Linked DNA regions of Drosophila melanogaster. Changing the gene in region 1 together with any one later gene gives a genetic interaction. Each region holds a gene or a part of one and is shown in the gene's direction. Other genes may lie near its edges. The genes, in order: FMRFa and wit.

The links.
Region 2: of FMRFa (region 1) and wit, changing one suppresses a phenotype caused by changing the other (phenotypic suppression), as found in Drosophila melanogaster (one study listed by BioGRID).

The regions. Positions count from the first base shown.
Region 1 is NT_033778.4:9,904,231-9,910,999, forward strand, and holds FMRFa (FMRFamide), read left to right. Parts: upstream 1-2,063; 5' UTR 2,064-2,171; intron 2,172-4,908; coding exon 4,909-5,952; 3' UTR 5,953-6,227; downstream 6,228-6,769. UniProt on the Drosophila melanogaster protein: In insects, FMRFamide and related peptides have modulatory actions at skeletal neuromuscular junctions, and peptides that are immunologically related to FMRFamide are released into the circulation from neurohemal organs.
Region 2 is NT_037436.4:4,068,419-4,073,666, reverse strand, and holds the start of wit (wishful thinking), read left to right. Parts: upstream 1-1,949; 5' UTR 1,950-2,258; intron 2,259-3,385; exon of another isoform or gene 3,386-3,484; coding exon of another isoform or gene 3,485-3,964; intron 3,965-4,026; coding exon of another isoform or gene 4,027-4,038; exon of another isoform or gene 4,039-4,178; intron 4,179-4,205; exon of another isoform or gene 4,206-4,298; intron 4,299-5,248. Other genes in the region: Faa (fumarylacetoacetase), read left to right, coding at 298-515, 576-1,177, 1,236-1,582; CG32259 (uncharacterized protein), read right to left, coding at 3,485-3,964, 4,027-4,038.

The DNA.
Region 1 (6,769 bases):
GCTGGCCATTAATTAGACGAATGTGGTTAGTTACAGCTGCTGGTCAAAAGCGTTAAGAGCGAAACAGAAAAGCCATAGGGAAATAAACAAAAAAGAGCAGAGCAGCAGCCGTGAATTGACAATGGCATTGACATCGAAACAGCGTCGCAGCATCTATTTTATTAGGTATATTTTCAGCCAGGGCTGCACCTAATCGGGCTAATCAAAGTGGCCAAGATGCGAGTGCGAAGCGGCCTGTTGGTCAGTTGACCTGACCTCTGCTCAACTAGCGTTTTGGCCAGAAGCATAAAAAATGCCACGAGATACTCACATGTAGGCTCGAAGTTAAAAATATTCTTATATTTCAATATATTTTCAATCAATATGGTTGTATTAAGCTGCCTAACCTTTTAAATCAGTTATGGCGAGTACTGATAATAAAGAATAAACTGAGTACTATGACAAACTAGTTTTGATTATTAACAAAAGTTGCTTATTGTTCGGACCTTGTACGTAATAAAATATCTGTTTTCCATTACACAACAAGCAATCAGATTCATAAAGAAATATTTTCCATAAGTAACAAAATGAAAACAGATATCTATAAAAGTTACACTTTAATAATATATATAACCTCATTGTTACAGTTGTTTAAAGCTTAGACTTTGCAACTGATTAAATGTGGACATATACTTTTAAGATAGAATTAGCCGAAAATATGTAACTAACAACTAAACATGGGGTTGACTTCAAAGTTACCACATCATTTGGGTTATAAAACTTATAAAAAAATACTATGCAAGAATCTTATTTTTTTATGGCGTGCATAATATGAGGTCTTTTACAAAAAACAAAAGTCATCAGTGAAGTAAACAACAAGTTTTATTTAAATTCGAAGATATTTATAAATTTAAGGCATACAAATGCAAATGAATTAACAATAAAAGCTTCTGGGGTGAGTCCATAGATTACAGAGCAGCGCAGTTTTCTTGACCAGATGATGGTCTAGCTGAACTATTTTTAACTGGGCGATTGGCACACGACTTGGCCTGGTCATCAAACTCAAGCCAAGATTTGAACTTGAACTAGTCTCGCCTTATCACATTGCCTTCTAATTCGTTTTCATTTTCGATTTTCGCATCTACTTATGCTAATGAAGCCATCTGCAGACGTGGTTTTCGAACGTATTTATATTGATTATGGGTGATCGTCAACAAGAGCAGTGGACACCCAATAAACCTGTCCAAAAACCCGACACATTTCTGCCCAGTCATGCGTGGTGGACAATAGCCAAATGCCATTGATGAGACTCGTCTCCAAAACTTTGGCCTTTTGCCGGGCCGTAATTACAGACTTCCGTCTTTTGAACAGTTTTTTCAGCCCCACCCAAGAGTCGAGTCTTGAAAAGCTGGCTGGGATGGGGTGGTTTCGGGTGCTGGACGAGATGCCAGAGGCGCCACAATGTATCCTGTTACAGGTTACAGGGCCATAAAGCGCCATAAACGCCGCGACGGCAATGGCAAATTATAACGCATACGGACACGTAGTCGATCCACTGGCTAGAAGGCTAATTGGACGTGCCCGGCCAGGATGTCCCTGCTCATCCCACAGTCGACTTAAAAGTGGGCGTAACATAACAATTGTGGGCGATTTGCATACAATTTGGTGCTCGAGTGGCCACCTAACTGGCGTCGAAATGTTGCTACGTCATTGTTGCTGCCCCTCGTGCTTCTTGGCTAATAAGTCAGCATGAATGCGGTCTGTGTTTTGGCCTTTTGTCCCGCTGACAACCGCTGACAAGCAAAACAAACATATCAGCGGCTGACCAGCGACCATTTGCCGACATTGTCAAGGTTTTTTTTTCAGCCCCGAATACACCTGCTAATCTGTGGTGGTGACTAGCGCGCTCGGAAGGCAGAAAAAACTGCAGCGAAAATCAGTTCCATTGAATGTCCTCTGGCAACATGTTGCCGCAGCACTTGTTGCGCGCGTCCACTCGCAGAGGCACCTCAACATCAGCCTCCTTGGGCGCCAGCACAAAGGACGCAACGCATATAAAACAGGATGTTTCGCCAAACATCCTCACAGAACTGTTCCACCTTCGAGCGGGCAACAAGTGTGTGTGCGGCCCAAAAGGATCCCCAGACCTTCGAATTCACTCTAGTTTCCTAGTAAGGGGACAGGTTTCAGAGGTGAGTGCCATGCGAAAAGTGTGAAAACAGTGCTGAGCCTTAAGCAGTCGAGTTATTCTTTGGAAAAGCCAATAGCCAATTAGTGGCAATTGCTTTAAATGAAAAAGCTAAAATCACTTGGTAACTTTCGCCTATTGGCAACTATGCCACAAAAGAATAGTTACTATGATATTATTCGAATAAATACATAGAGTTGGATATAAGGATATGAGGTTTGACATTTTGCGTTTCGTGTACATTAATAAGTTTGCCTCGTAAAAGCGTCAAATAACATGCTATAATTCCCAAATCCGGGTAATTTTTAATTGGCCCAAAAGTGTTTGCCAAACTAACGCCAACTAATTCGGTTTTGTCAACTTTTCGACTGTCCGTCCCACATGGAAACTTAGTTGGAGCGAGCGAAAAACCAACAACAAGGAAATAGTTTTCCTCGTATCCAGCAGACACTGGGAATGGCAACAGCCATTTCGGTTAATGAAGGCAAATTGAAATATTTATGAGTGCACTTTTGGGTCCCAGGACGAGGCTAGATTTCCATTTGCATTCGCACCTGCGCTGGAAAATGCGGAAATGGTGGTGTTAACAGCCGGACCTCAAGAACCCAAGAACAGTAAAGCGAAGCGTGTGCAATTTTTGATTTATCGCCGACAGTGGACAAGTGAAATGCCCCGCGGGCCCATCATTTGTCTCCCGAGGTGTCCCACACGTGCAGCTCCAGCCTGACAAATGATATTTAAATGCCCCGCCACGGTTAATGTGCTCCGCATGCATGAATCCTGCAAATCCAGGATGCGTAGTGCGGGCGGGCGGCTGGAGGTGTTGCCAGGGCAGCTACTTCAAAGATATCAAACGTATCGCATATGCCATGCAAATCAGTTTAGGCCTGCCCCGAATCCCGGGTTTCATCTTCCATCTACCATTTGCCATCTACCACCATCTTGCCATCTTCCATTTGCCATCATTCCTGGGCGGGCTGGCTAAGCGAATTAACGAGTTTGTTATTGATACCTCCCATTCCTGGTTCCCTCGACTTTTAGCCTTACGCCCAAAACAAATAAGGCGGCAGCGCGTCACATTTATGAATTTTAAATGCACATTTCGGCATCGCAAATCAATCAGACATTTGGCAATTGTTGTCTACCCACTTCAAATTCGCTGACTCCTTGCCTCTGGAGAGGCTGTCTGTCATATTTTGGCCGCGGCAGTGTGTCTTGCAACATATCCAGTTGGAGCCCATAAATTAAACGACGCTTGACTAGTTTCCTCTTTTATGTTATGGGACCCTTGAGTTTCCCTCGCCTGTTGCAATCGCTGGCTGCAAATGCACATGCAACTGTAAGTGCAATTGCCACTGCAACACTCTGTTGCCCATTAAAATCTCAGCTGAGAAGTGCGTATGCAAATCTTTAGACGGTTTGTCTGGGCCATCGTCTTCGCACTCTTGAACACTCGATTGCCTGAATGCGGCTCTGATTGCCGCCCCGACATCGAATTAAGCGAGTACCGCCGAAAGTATGTTAATGCTCGTGGTTGCGAAGTTTGCTCATCAGACGGCGACTTGGAGGTCAAGTTTTTGTTGTGAGTTGTCTGGGCAAGTTTTTAATTTATCCAAACGGAGCACTCAAACATCGACGGCACAGAAGTGCTAATTGACCACTGGCTGGCGGTTGGGAAAACCCCTGATTTTCCACTTCCTGCAACATTGTTGCAGCCATTGCAAAACACATTTCAATATTTTTGAAAACGAAAGAAAGTAAATATAGCCACATAAAGATGGCAGATAATAACGATTATTATCTATGAGTTGAGAAGCGAAAGAGTGGCATTTAGCATGAAGATTTGTTAGCCATATCCCCACGTTAACAGGGCTTGCAGAAAGTTGACGCCCAGATTTTAAAGTGGTAACTAAAATTTAATGACTAATGTTTTAGTTGTGTGTCATCAGTTGATTGAATACCATCAAGCAGACGTGCAGCATTAGCAATCTTAGCCAAGATAGAAATATTAGCAGGCGAAAAGGGTTTGGTGACCCCAATGTTTTATGTGTTTTCAGTCACATCAGAGAGAAGAAAGTGAAGTACAGCAGCGCACCTTTGTACCATCCCCAATGGACCTGGCTATTCAATTTTGAACACTCATGAGTGCCGCTAGGTCCTGCTACCTGGTAGCTGCAACCTGTTGCAGATGCCACGTTCACAATGCGCTGACACGGCACTCAGTGGATCAGCTTGCCTTGAGCAGGCCTCGCAGGCTGAGCCGTCACCATATCCAAAAGCCATAATCATTTGCATCTCTAATGGTGCTGGCGTCGTCGTCCTCGTCCGGACACCATACATCAACCGCCCTGCTCCCCTGGCACTTCCTCTCATCGCCCACTTCGCCGGGCTTTCCGAACAAGTGTTAATGCCTGTAAACCTGGTTATATGCCGATGTGGGTGGATGAGTGGTGGTGGCTAAGTGGGTGGCTAAGTGGGTGTGAGGGCCCATTGTCGTGGCATGCCATTGTTGTGGTTTTAATGCGGCTGGTTAACTTTTAACGCGCCGGCCCAACAGATCTGGCCATAAATATCATGATGGTTAATTAGCAGGACACTTTGTCTGCGCGTCCTGGCTGCCGGTGGCTACTGTTACCCTAAGTAAAACGAACGGTCTTAATGTGATTAAAAGTTGCAATAGATAACGCGAGATGCCGCCGCCTCATAATTATCCTGCCGTCACTCCATTCTTATCCTTGCAGATGGGCATTGCCTTGATGTTCCTGCTGGCCCTGTACCAGATGCAGTCGGCCATCCACAGCGAGATCATCGATACGCCCAACTATGCGGGCAACTCGTTGCAGGACGCTGACTCCGAGGTGAGTCCACCGCAGGACAATGACCTGGTAGATGCACTGCTCGGCAACGATCAGACCGAGAGGGCGGAGCTGGAGTTCCGGCACCCCATCTCTGTGATTGGCATCGACTACTCGAAGAACGCCGTGGTGCTGCACTTCCAGAAACACGGCCGGAAACCGCGCTACAAGTACGATCCCGAGCTGGAGGCCAAGCGAAGGTCCGTGCAGGACAACTTCATGCACTTCGGCAAGAGGCAGGCGGAGCAGCTGCCACCGGAGGGCAGCTATGCTGAATCCGATGAACTGGAGGGCATGGCCAAGCGAGCAGCTATGGATCGGTATGGCAGAGATCCCAAGCAGGACTTCATGCGGTTTGGTCGGGATCCGAAACAGGACTTCATGAGGTTTGGCAGGGATCCAAAGCAGGACTTCATGAGATTCGGTCGGGATCCCAAGCAGGATTTCATGAGATTCGGTCGAGATCCCAAGCAGGATTTCATGAGGTTTGGACGCACTCCGGCTGAGGATTTCATGAGGTTCGGACGCACTCCGGCGGAGGACTTCATGAGGTTCGGACGCTCCGACAATTTCATGCGCTTCGGACGCAGTCCCCACGAGGAGCTTCGCAGTCCCAAACAGGATTTCATGCGATTCGGTCGCCCGGACAACTTCATGCGCTTCGGGCGTTCCGCTCCGCAGGATTTTGTGCGCTCCGGGAAGATGGACTCAAACTTCATTCGATTCGGTAAGAGCTTGAAGCCGGCGGCTCCCGAGTCCAAGCCAGTCAAGTCCAATCAAGGCAACCCAGGCGAACGCAGTCCAGTGGACAAGGCCATGACGGAGCTGTTCAAGAAACAGGAGCTGCAGGATCAGCAGGTGAAGAACGGCGCACAGGCGACCACCACGCAGGATGGGAGTGTGGAACAGGACCAGTTCTTCGGCCAGTGAGGTAGTCCTGCGGGACGCCTCCTTGTAAATAGATATGGACAAATGTACGCAAGGATCTAAATTGATATACGTATATAACCCACTCCTCACACGAACTCCTGACTTATGCCTGAACTATGAATTTTTAATGAATGGGCTGGATTAAAAATTCACCGTGCTTTGAAGTTCTTATCTATAAATATATCTAGTGTAATATTGAAGAAATTGAAATTGGCGTGAATAAAATCCTGTGGCAACATTTTAAATAAAGATTGCTTTACTGTAAATTATAGCGCACTCGAATAGTCTTATTTCATTTCGGTCGAGGTACATATTGTATAGCCATTATTAGTTTCTCCACTGGTCAGAATCTGGAGTTCTACAACCATAAGTACATTGGATACTCTTGTAACCAGTATCAAAATATGTCTACCGTTTACTATATTTCTTCATCTATCATTTAGTTATATTATTTAATATGAATTAGGATTTTACCATTATCAAATTTAATCTAATATGCATCTAATATTTTATGTATTGATGATTTAATATATACTCCTTTTCTATACAAGGAAAGTTAGAAATGAATTGAAAACTGTTTTCATGTTCGAATGATAACCACTCTCAAATGCTTGACAACTCTGGTCCGGTTTGTGACATCGCTAGAATCTCTTTTGTATACCAGTTTATCAAGATGGGTCGAGTCCGTGGAGAGTGGTCATTTTTAGTACCACTCATTCTTATCGCCCAGCTGTAAGCATTAAGAAACCGCTGGCTTAAGAATAGAAACCAAACAGCTTTATTTTTCAGTTTGATTAGTTTATTTCGATTCCAAGTT
Region 2 (5,248 bases), on another chromosome or scaffold:
GTAAATGGCAAAGCAAATGTTCCTTTAACTCAGCCTGTTTTCCGTGTAATATTTTCAAGTTTTTCTTCAGTTTCATGTGACTTTGGATCGTTCCACATGTTCTAGAAATCAACTTTAGAACAGAAACCGCTTTGGGGCATAGCATTTGCATACATCATCCAAGACAAACTAGTTTGTTTACGAAAACAATATGCTAATCCAATCTTTAATACCCCAGCAACCAGGTTCTGATAAGGCCCCATATCATATATCGTATTTGTATATCGTAAATGGTGTTTTTCATCTTACCATCCGTAGAAAGTTCACCGTATTTGTGTGGCCATTGGAGAGCATGTCCTGGACCTGAAAGCTGTCTCGCAGTTGTTTCCTTTCCAAGTTCAGAAAAGCCTGCAGGCCGAAACTTTGAATGAGCTTATGGGATTGGACTTTGAAGCTTGGGATGTGGTAAGAAGCCAGACTCAAAAGCTATTGACGAAGGGTTCAGAATTGGACCACAATGTGGACTTGAAGGCGGTGTAAGTCGGATTTATTATAATAATTTATTATTCATAGTTAATAATTTATTTATTTATCAGTTCCATTGTGCCACAGTCTGAGATCAAGCTGCACCTGCCTGCACAGATTGGTGACTATACAGACTTTTACTCATCCATCCACCATGCCACCAATGTCGGCATTATGTTCCGTGGACCAGACAATGCTCTGATGCCCAACTGGCGCCATCTGCCGGTGGGCTATCATGGTCGTGCAAGTTCTGTGGTGGTTTCCGGTACTCCCATCCGTCGTCCTCTTGGTCAAACGTTTCCCGATGGAGCAGAGAAGCCCGTCTTTGGCGCCTGCAAGCTTCTGGATTTCGAACTAGAAATGGCTTTCTTTATCGGTGGTAAGGGAAATCAGCTGGGTGAACCCATACGCGTGGATGAGGCCTGGAAGAACGTGTTCGGTTTCACGCTGATGAACGACTGGAGTGCCAGGGATATTCAGAAGTGGGAATATGTGCCACTGGGCCCCTTCACCGCAAAGAATCTGGGAACCACCATCTCCCCTTGGGTAGTGCCCACAGCTGCCCTGAAGCCCTTCGTCTTGGACAACTTTCCTCAGGAACCGGAGGTGCTTCCCTATCTGCGCCAGAACATTCCCTTTAACTTTGATATCAACCTCGAGGTGTCTTTGAAACGTAAGTTGCCGCCTGTTAAAGATTTGTTACGTTAATTCACAAAATTTCCCCTTCTCAGCCGCCGATCAAAACGAAGCGCTTATTTCAAAGTCGAACTTCAAACACCTTTATTGGACTCCACTGCAGCAAATCGCTCATCACACAGTCACCGGTTGTAATCTGCGTCCTGGTGATCTGATGGCCTCCGGAACGATCTCCGGTGAGACTCCAGACTCGTACGGATCACTTTTAGAGCTCTGCTGGAAGGGCACCAAAACATTGGAGCTTCCGGGTGGTAAGACCAGAAAATTCCTCCAGGACTTTGACGAGGTCATCATCCGTGGCCACTGCGAAAAGAACGGACTGCGAATCGGATTCGGGGAGTGTGTGGGTCAGGTGCTGCCTGCCCACCCCGTTCCGCAGTAGGACCACTTATTAACATAAGTAAATGAAATAAATTCTATTCAGTCTTCCTGGATACGTCAATACATTATGATGTTCGGAAAACTTCAACTTTTCGTTCAAAAGCATACTTTTTGGGATAAATGGCCATCCATAGTAGCGTATACGTAATATTTTTTCTCGGTGCACAGTAATAAGCTCAACAAGTGCTCAACTCTTTCGCTCTCTCGCTACGATGCCTTGCTCTCTTTCGTTTACACAACTCTCGCTCCAATCGGAGCCTCTGCCATTCCACGCAGCTTCGTAAATACGCGCACGCCGCTTCTTCTTTGGCTGCAGAGAAGAGCGGAGAGCGCCAATGGGAGCATAGCTGAGCGGAGCAGCAAACCGCATTCATTCCTCGAAAGTCGGCGGGCGAAGGTGGGCGCGCTGCGAAAAGTCAAACGGCAAAACGGCAGAAAGGCAAAACGGCCCGCCTATCGGGCAAACTTGTTTAAAGTGCCATAAAAAAGCCTCTAAAAAGCGTAGAAATAAAAAAAGCTGCCGTGCAGCGCAAAGCAGACGCGACTGGCGCCGGTGCCCCAATAATAAATTTTCCGACGAGTGTGCAACTTCTTTCGGTTATTTAAAACAAAAGAAATAAATAAGTAATACAACTTAAAGTGCAAGTGCAGTGGTTGAATAGCGCCCTGAATTAAGTGTAAGTGCTGCTCGCAAATTGAAATTAAAATTAGTGCAGAATAGTGCAAATGTTTTCCGCAAACAACGCTGAATGTCTTGGAAAAATCAATTTTTTACTCCACTCTGCGCAAGTACACACACACAAATACGCTGACTAGCGAAGGGCAGACGGCGGGTTGGGGTGGGCCACCCACCCTGGCAGAAAACACTCTGTCTGCTCACAGTACACATGCACTGTTAGAAATGTTAATATCTTTTGCACATTATCACATAGTATGCATATGGATGTTCTTTAAAGATATGTATGTAGAACAATTGCGTTCGAGTAGTAGGATCAAGGGGCCATTGAAATTATTCGTATTTTGGATACATTATAAAATAATATACAACCCATTTGTTTACTGTGTGGAATGAAGTCAACAAGAGACCTCCGAATCCATACCCATTCAAATTCCCTTCGCCATTGTTGTTCTTGCTGTCCTCCGCCGACTGCATGCACTTTTGTGTTTTTGCATTGATTTTCCACATCGTTTTTTACACCGACTGTCGCAGTTTGGCCAAATGCATCTGCAGCACGAAGATGTATCCCCCGAATGGCGCGGATGTGTCTGAGGATGGGGACATGGACAAATGCACACGCAGCACGCAAAAAGTTAATCAGGCCCCAAAGAACAACAAAACGGTGGGGCCCAAAACACACTAACAGCGAAGGAGAATGTGAGCCTAAAGACAGTTTTATACCCTGTGATAAAACGAACTATAAACTAACATAGGTTCCTGTGTTACAATGTGATTTTTCTTAATTCATAAGTATTAGGAAAATTTATTGGTGCAAGATTTTAATGCAAGATAGTTTTAGAGCGTGTTGGGTACACCCTGACAAGTGTAGGGTATCGAGCAGTATTTGCAATTAACTGGCGCCGTCGGCTATCGTGCGAGAGCAGCCGGCGGGTTCCGCCTCCTCGCCCGCGGGTCCTCCTTCGGCCCACTCCACGGAGCACTTGGGACAGCGCCAGTTGAACCTGTTTTGGCGCGCCAGAGACACCGCTCTCTAGCTTCTTGAGTTCTCTTCATGTGCGCATTTGCTGAAAGTGGAGAAAGGAGAGGAAACCAGAAGCGAAATGGGAGAAAAGAAAGGCCAGAAATAGCGTCCCTTCGAAATTATAATTGCTCTATAAATTGAACATTATTATAATCATGATACAAGAAATATTGTACGAAAATGGAAAAGGAACAGAAAATATTCTATTCGGAGCTTTTCTTCAACTGGGCTTTATCGCGTTGACGCATCTTCCAAAGTTTTTTCTGGCGGACGAGGTCGACAAGATCAAGTGGTGATTGCGGGACGACTTTCGACATGATAGCATCCAGTTTGGAGTTAATCATGTTAACCAAAAGTCCGACTGCATTGACAACCGACTGCTGATCATTTGGATCCACTTCCAACAAGGCTTCTGGTATTGGTATTTCTTGAGCTGGAGAGTGCTCTGAAGAACCCGATGAAGAGTCAGAGTCCTCGCTTAGATTGGCCTCTAATATGGCTTTCGCTAATTTTTCAGTTATCGAATCCTGTGAGGAACCTGATGATGGGTCGGACTCCTCGTTCTCATCTGAACCATCACAGTAATCTTTCGACACGTCTGATGAATCGGAATCCATTTGCAAACTCTTCTTCGCGTTGGAATCCTCAGTGGTGTCCGAATCCTTATTGCTACGATTTGGGTTCTGCATGAAATGTGGTAAATGGAATATGAATGCACTCAGGACACAATTAACCAACAACATACCATCTTATTCATCTTTCTGAAGAGTTGCAAAATAGTTAAGCACAATGACGAAGCCAATAAAATTCACTGCAATCCAGAAAATGAAGTAAACGAACACAAGTTCTCCACTCATGACATTCGAGTTCAGAATGAAATAGTTAGTTGGATATTCTATGATATCGATTTGACAAGTAACTTACAGCGTGCTGGATAATAAAATTAGCAATCCCACAAAATCGAATCGAATCGTTCTCTGCAAAAATTGCTGAATAATTCTATTAGCTGTTGGTCAGCTGTTTCAGGCAAAAGGAACTGTCAAACATTTTGACAGTTCATCAACCCCTACCAGAGTTGTCACCATCTATGGCGAAATAATCTAGTATTTATTTAATGCTAGATTTTTTGTAAATCAACATATCGCGCTTTTGCTTTCATTCTTGATTCACTTGCATGAATTTCTTGAATGGAAAATGCCATAAACAATAGCCGTAATCGCATGATAAGTCTATCCTGAACTGTCTGATAAATTGCTTATCTTGGCTTAAATTTCATGCCTCGTCACCCACAATTAACCCAAATGCCGCCGATGCAAATTTGTTACCAGCTAGGTATAAACACATTTTTATTTGCCAGTGTGTACATACATATGTATTTATATGTATAAGACAAGCTAACGTATCCTATAATTGGAGCGTAATAACTTTAACCAGCCACATAATTAATGACGGCAAAATTTCTAATCAGCATTCAGGGGGGAAACGAGTGTGAGGTGGAGTGTTTTCAAGAATGCGTGCTTATATACATATGTACATATGTACCTTTCGTTAATGGATGATAAGGGGGATAAATTAAAGGTAGTTCATTCATAGGGGTACACAATTGTGTAAATATATTCTCGCAGTTCCATCTAGATGCTCCACACTGCAATCGAGCCTCAAGTGAAATGATTCCTATTCTGGCGGCGCCTGGTTCCAAATCGGTTCCAAAGTGCAACCGTTCCCTCGAGACTTGGAGTGGGTGGGTGCTTGTGGTTCCCTCATTTGATCCCCCCAGCCCCCGCAACGTAGACAGACTTTGATGGAGACGCTTGGCGATCGGTAGTGTTCGATTGTGGAGCTGTGCGAGTATTTGGGTCTGGCCATTATCATCGGCGGGTCGACTTGATATAGACGGAGAGCTCGCGAATTGTCATCGTCTATTGATACGCCAACCGAATGTGAGATTTTTGTGGTGGGGACCAGAG